Linked DNA regions of Callithrix jacchus. The protein of the gene in region 1 interacts with the protein of each later gene in a pairwise test. Links are inferred from orthologs where the notes say so. Each region holds a gene or a part of one and is shown in the gene's direction. Other genes may lie near its edges.

What was found.
Region 2: the proteins of MTFR1L (region 1) and ARMC1 interact in binary tests that used the Homo sapiens proteins (3 or more experiments, as listed by UniProt). The two-hybrid records come from large-scale screens. The link is inferred for Callithrix jacchus from reciprocal best matches to the Homo sapiens genes MTFR1L and ARMC1.

Annotation. Positions count from the first base shown.
Region 1 is NC_133508.1:62,468,518-62,472,273, forward strand, and holds the end of MTFR1L (mitochondrial fission regulator 1-like), read left to right. Parts: coding exon 1-170; intron 171-2,542; coding exon 2,543-2,648; 3' UTR 2,649-3,554; downstream 3,555-3,756. UniProt on the Homo sapiens protein: Mitochondrial protein required for adaptation of miochondrial dynamics to metabolic changes. Regulates mitochondrial morphology at steady state and mediates AMPK-dependent stress-induced mitochondrial fragmentation via the control of OPA1 levels.
Region 2 is NC_133517.1:21,506,221-21,509,876, reverse strand, and holds part of ARMC1 (armadillo repeat-containing protein 1), read left to right. Parts: intron 1-2,454; 5' UTR 2,455-2,489; coding exon 2,490-2,672; intron 2,673-3,656.

The DNA of each region.
Region 1 (3,756 bases):
TCAGTCCCCCTGCTTTGTTCTGCCAGCCCTGAATGTTGCAAACCAGAACACAAAGCTACCTGCAGTTCGTCTGAAGAGGATGACTGCATCTCTTTGTCCAAGGCCAGCAGCTTTGCAGACATGATGGGTATCCTGAAGGACTTTCACCGGATGAAACAGAGCCAAGATCTGTAAGTATCTGATGAGGAACTCTGGTGATCTATTTACTCTGAGTTACCCATGGCCAATGATCTAATGCAACATACTTAAATAGTAAGTTCTTAGTAGTACCGTATGTTATGTCATTCATAAAGCTTCCTGACTACCTGCTTGCTAGTGTCTTAGGCCCCAGTTTGAGGAAAGAGCAACACTTTACATTTATTGGGTTAGGTCACCCAAACCAAATATTTGGCTAGTAAGGATCTTACAAGAAGGCTCATCTAATCCAACTTCTGTTCTCGGTGGCTTTACCACTTCATTTCTTATACTGCTAGTGACAGTGTCTCCATGCCCCACCTTTCAAAGTGATGGGTTGCATGACATTATGTTTTGTTTTCTTATCTCAAATTAGTAGACTTTTTTGGTGGGAGGAGAATTTCATAAGTTGGAGATTTCTGCTTTAAAATACAGTGGTCCATTATGCAAGCAAATCCTGCAAATTCAATGATTTGAGAACAAGGCTTTTGAGACTCACCAGGAGTTCCTAAACCTGTCTGTGTATCAGAATTGCTTGGATTTGTTAAAAATACATCTTTAACTTACTAAAGTAGAACCCCAAGGAGTGGAGCTCTAGGTTTTTCCGATGGCGCATGAGGGACTTTGGGGAAAAGCTTCATCTGGCAGAGAAGCCTCAGGGAGTCATCCCATTGCATAGTGGGGTGCATACAATCCACAACTGAATTGTAGTTTCAACAGCTGCACAGGACCACCAGATACCAGAGGAACTTGGTTTGAATGTAAGCTCCTGAGCATTTGAGATTTAGACCTTGATAGCCAGCACCGAGCTTGTGCAGATGTATTTGACTTTTTTTTTTTTTTTTTGAGATGGAGTGCACTCTGTTGCCCAGCTGGAGTGCAGTGGCATGATTTCAGCTCACTGCAACCTCCACCTCCAGGGTTCAAGCAATTCTCCTATCTCAGCCTCCCGAGTAGCTGGGACTACACCACCATGCCTAATTTTTGTATTTTTACTAGAGATGAGGTTTCATCATGTTGGCCAGGCTGGTCTCAATCTTTTGACTTTGTGATATGCCCACTTCAGCCTCCCAAAGTGCTGGGATTACAGGTGTGAGCCACTGCACCCAGCCAGCTCTATTTGTTAATGCAGATGAAAAATTGTTTTAGGGACTGGAAGTGAGGTCTCCTGAGTTGATAAAGTTCCTGTTAAAGGGAAAGTTACTTGCCTTGGTTCCCTTTTTGTTTCCTAGGACGCATTTTCTTCTGAAAACTAGATCAGGCTAAATGACTTTCTCATTGCTTCCTGGCAGTTGACCCATTTGGGAAATCACCATTAACATTCCTTCACTGGCCCTAGTCAGGTTGGTCATACTCACCTGCTCTTTGGTCTTCTATATTCCCAAATTCAGTTGCTGCTGCTTTTGGTCTTTTCTGAGCTGTTTTCTTCTGAACACAATGCTTTATAGTTGTTGACTCTCAAAACTGTCTCTTATTTGCCTTTTGGACCAAATTAGATTCAAGACCTTTACTGCCAGCCCCCTCCTCCCACTTATGTCCTTGCATCAGGAGCTGGGTCAGTGAATAAGAATGGGAAAGTACCGAAATCAGCAAGGTTCAGAAATGTCACCAACCAAATGCAGTCTTGTTTTTGCTTTGAATGTTGAATAGTCAGTCTTGGCCTTTATATTTAGCTTAATCACCAATCAAACACCTTCATGAGGATACACGTATATAAGTTCACTAGGATTTCAAGCAACTATTTTCCAGGTATCTAGGACCCTGTTATATAATGTATCTGATAATTTGGACTTCAGTTTGGAGTTGGTTTTGTTCCCATGAGTTTCTTAAGTGAATGTTTTGCTCTAATTCTGGCTCTTATAAAAACATCATCTCCCCTGAAAGGGAGACAGGGTAGTAGGAAATCCCAAACACACCTTTTCTCCAGAACTATTAAGGGTCAGAATAGCCAAGAGTCATCAGTCACTTCCCTTGCTGACCTGGGGAAATGCTACTATGAAAACATAGGGCCAGAAGGCAGAAGCAGAAGCTTATTAGCCACCAGAGGCCAGCTCTTACAGATTGATGGTCCTTTACTTTACCCACACTTTATAGCTATTTCAGGAACTAGTAAAGCATTCTAGTTAAGAGAAGAGATCTGGAACCAGCTAGTTTGGTTTTGAACTCTGGATTCACCACTTACTTGCTGAGTGACTACTGACCTTGGGCAACTTGTATAACTTTCCTATGCTTCAATTTCTGTATCTGTGAAAGGGAATTGTAGTAGCACCTACCTCTTAAGATTGTGTGAGGATTCAATGAGATAATGTATTCAAAGATAGACAGCACTACCCAGGAAGAAGTACTCAAGCTGTTATTGTGCCTCTAGGAACCGGAGTTTATTGAAGGAGGAAGACCCTGCTGTGCTTATCTCTGAGGTCCTACGGAGGAAATTTGCTCTAAAGGAAGAAGATATCAGTAGAAAAGGAAACTGAACCCTCAGCTCTGCAAACTCAGTCTCATGCTCCTGGAATACCTTCAATAGCTGCCTTCCTCACTGCAGATTTTTCTGCCTCTCAAGGAGAAATTGTCAGCAATCTTGCTGACAAGCTAGAGCTTGGACTGAAAGAGAAGAACTGGATTGTATGTTTCCCAGACTTCAAACCCTAGCAGAAGCTAAGGCCTATGATTTGACCTGAGACATTTGTTACAGGTAATTGTGCAGAATGAAGTGTCTCAGTTTAAAGGGTAGGAGAGAAGTTGTTTCTGGTTTTTCCTTGCCCCTGTGTGAAAATAGGTCCTAAATGACTGATTTACTTCACTGCATTAGACCCTATAATTGGTCTCACAAGACACTGTGCCCAGCTGTCACTCACTCTCAGCAGCTTCCTTGCAGCAGAGCAGGGCTGAGGGTAAGGGGCTCTGTTTGTATACATTTCACAGGGCACGGAAAATCTTATGCTGCTCCATCATAAACCTACACCAATGCCCAGCAATCACCCTCCTCACTTCCTTGTCTAGATGTAGAGGTCAGGCTGCTGAACCAGCTGATACATGGTCTATTGCTGGGAAGCCTGGGCTGTTTTTTTCCTTAAAGATATTTTATATTACTGAACAACCAAGTCTACCCTCCAGGGCCCTGAGGCCTTATCAGTTCCACCGATTAAAAGCGTTCTTTTCCACTGACTTTAAGCCCAGTAGGAAAGAGAAAGGAGGGGGAACGAGCATACCATTGTCTTTCTTCGAGGCCCTTGACTGCTCCTTTGGGTTGAGCCAAGGTTTGTACCTACCACGCCATGCATGACTCAGATGCCCTCAGGTCCCTTTCTCTATGGTATGTATACTTTGTGTGTTTGGGTTGAAGTACTACCTGACATTAAAGGAAGGATTTGGAGAGAGAATGCATTTCTTGTGTCCATCTTTTGAGTTGTGGTTACCCAGTATCCTCCAGGGATATAGGATTATTGTTAATTTTAAGGTGTATGAAGTTAAACAGGCTACTGGCTTCTTCTCTTTCCTGCCCTTCTAGGGGGTTTCTTCCCCCTTTCTGTAGAGATTTTGCCCTACACTCTTTTTTTTAGAAACTGGATCTAGCTCTGTCAT
Region 2 (3,656 bases), on another chromosome or scaffold:
TCTGTTAATGATGCTGTAATAAACATGGGAGTGCAGACATCTATTAGACAAATTGATTTCAAATATTTTGGGCAAATACCCAGAAGTGGGATTGCTGGATTGTGTATCCGGTTCTTTAGCTGTGACTTGCCTCTTGGGTCTTTGAGCCAGTGATTGGTTCTGCAGGTTCCATTTTGGATAGAATTTGTGCTAGTGACAGCATTTAAAGCTTATGGGTGGCTGGGCACCATGGCTTACGCCTGTAATCCCAGCACTTTGGGAGGCCAGGGCAGGTGAATCACCTGAGGTTAGGAGTTCAAGACCAGCCTGGCCAACATGGTGAAACCCTGTCCGTACTAAAAATACAAAAATTAACCAAGGCGTGGTGGTGTGTACCTGTAATCTTCCCAAAATGCTGGGATTATAGTTGTGAGCCACCACGCCCGGGGTGATATACTGACTTTAAAATGAAAGTATGGAAATTGGAAAAACTGCTGATGAGTTTAGGAAATAAGTAAGATTTTAGGTCAGTTCTGTGCTAACTAGTTTTGTGATGTGGGACAAATTATTGAATTTCTCTGTGACTGTCTCCTTATCTGGCAAATGAATTATGTCAAATTCTATTTTTTTCTTTCTATTCTTTTTTCCTTTTCTTTTCTTTTTTTTTTTTTTTTTTTTGAGATGGAGTTTTGCTCTTGTCATCCAGGCTGAAATGCAATGGCATGATCTTGGCTTACTGCAACCTTCTCCGGGGTTCAAGCGATTCTCCTGCCTCATCCTCCTGAGTAGCTGGGATTAGAGGTGCCTGCTACCATGCCTAATTTTTATTTCTTTTTCTTTTTTTTAAAGATGGGGTTTCACCATGTTGGTCAGGCTGGTCTTGAACTCCCGACCTCAGGTGATCTGCCCGCCTTGGCCTCCAAAGTGCTTGGATTATAGGCGTGGGCCACTGTGCCCGGCCACCTGACTAATTTTTTTGTATTTTTAATAGAGATGGGGTTTCACCATATTGGCCAGGCTGTTTTTTTTTTTTTTGTTTTAAGTGATACATAGTTTCAACTCTGTTACCTAGGCTGGAGTGCAGTGGCTGATCTTGGTTCACTGCAACTTCCTACTCCTGGGTTCAAGCAGTTCTCCTGCCTCCCAAATAGGTGGGATTATAGGCATGTGCCACCACGCCCAGTTAATTTTTCTGTTTTTAGTGGAGATGGGGTTTCACCATGTTAGTCAGGTGAAACCTGACTTAAACTCCTGACCTCAGGTGATTCACCCGCCTCGACCTCCCAAAGTGCTGGGATTATAGGCATGAGCCATCACACCCGGCCTTATACTTTTGGTTTAAAATCAGTGTATCAGCCGGGCGCAGGTGGATCATTTGAGATCAGGAGTTTGAGACCAGCCTGGCCAACATGGTGAAAACCTGTCTCTCCTAAAGTGACAAAACAATTAGCTGGGTATGGTGTCACGTGCCTGTAATCCCAGGTACTAAAGATATAAAAAATCAGCTGGGCCTGGTGTCATGTGCCTGTAATCCCAGGTACTTGGGAGAATGAGGCAAGAGAATCACTTGAACCCAGAGGCGGAGGTTGCAGTGAGCTGAGATAGCGCTATTACACTCCAGCCTGGGTGACCAGAGTGAGTCTCTATATTGGAGGAAAAAGAAAACTGGAGAAACAAAAGTATGGAAAGTGGAAAGCTAATGAGTTTAAGAAATAGTAAATAAGATTTTAGGCCAGTTCTGTGCTAACTAGCTTTTGTGATGGGGGGCAAATTATTGAACTTCTCTAAGACTGTGTCCTTATCTGGCAAATGAATTACATCAAATTCTATTTCATTCTTCCTGTTCTTGCTTTTCTGTTAGGTGGTAGAATGTGGCATACTCAGATGGACAGAATGTGTTTAAATTCAGTCTGGATTCACTATGATCTTTCAGACTCGACTGGCCTGGGCTGCAGGCTAAATACCTTTCCTGGCTTCTTGATTTACAGACTTCTACTCCCTTTTTCCTAGGGCATTTTATTCTTTATAGACAGAGTATGCTAGGTTTTTGTTCACTGATGAATAGCAAAGCTGTAAGCTGGCCACTTTTCCCTCAGGCACTTGTTTAAGCCTAGAAATAGTCTAGAGAAAAAAAAAAAAAACACTGGCAATGTTAGTTTGAGAAGTATAGCGAAGGTTACAAGCTTGAGCTGTAAAGATCTCTTGTGACTGAATTGTTAAAATATATATATGCTAAAAGGTAATTTATTGGAATATTGATGATGATATCCTTTAAACATTGTGCACACAAGTTTTTTCAGTCATCTTATGTTCATTTTACCGTTCTTAAACTGTAGAGTTGCCAATTTTTAAGTTTTTGTGGGATTTAGTTTTCATTACCTATTTCATTCTAAACATGTTATAATACTGGTTATTTCACAAATGCCATAATATACCTCAGCAGCCTAGAACTAATTCTGCAAACCTTTTCTACAGAATTTAAGATTTTATTCATGTGCATGGCATAGAAGATGAATTCTTCCACCTCCACCATGAGTGAAGAGCCTGATGCTCTGTCGGTGGTTAACCAGTTACGGGATCTAGCAGCAGATCCATTAAACAGAAGAGCCATCGTCCAGGATCAAGGATGTCTGCCTGGCCTTATTTTATTTATGGACCATCCCAACCCTCCAGTCGTCCACTCAGCTTTACTCGTAAGTTGCCTTTAGTAATTTCAGTCTCTGTTTTATCTTTGCAATTAAGGAGACAATTTGGAAAAAGTGTTAGATGACATGGTAAAAAACTGAGAGACCAGTTAATTGTATTTATATGTGTAGAAACATATATGTCTGGTCTGTTTACACAAATGGTAACATGCTACATTGTTTCTATCCTTTTATTTATTTATTTCTGAGACAGAGTCTCCTCTGTGGTCTAGGCTGGAGTACAGTATGGCAGGAACTTAGTTCACTGCAATCTCCACCTCCTGGGCCCAAACCATCCTCCTTGACCTCAGCCTCCTGAGTAGCTGGGATGATAGGCACACTCCCATCATGCCAGGCAAGTTTTTGATATTTTGTAGAGATGAGGTTTCCCCATGTTGGCCGGACTGGTCTCAAACTCCTGAGCTCAAGTGATCCTCCCACCTCAGCCTCCCAGCGTGTTGGGATTACAGCTGCGAGTCACCATGGCTGTTCCTGTTTTTATTCTTTAACATGAATGGTATCATACTACATGCTTGGAATGTTCTACCACTTTCCTTTTCATTTAACACTCTTGAGGATTGGATCATATTATACACATAGACACTCAAAGACGCACTTATTTTGTTTTTATTTTATAATAGCTGTTTAAGATGTAAGCACACAGCATCATCCAATTCACTCATTTAAAGTATACAATTAAGTGGTTTTAGTATATTCATAGAGTTGAGCCACCATCACTACAACTTTTTATTTTTTATAGCTAATTTTTTTTTTTTTTTTTTAGTAGAGATAGGATGTAGCTCTGTTGCCCAGGCTGGTCTCAAACTCCTGACCTCAACCGATTCTCCTACCTCAGCCTCTCAAAGTGCTTAGATTACAGATGTGAGCCACTGTGCCCGACACACCACAACTTTTTACCTATTGCTCTCCAGACCCCCACACTCCCCATCCCTAGGCAACTATTAATCTACATTTTGTTTGTCTATATTTGCC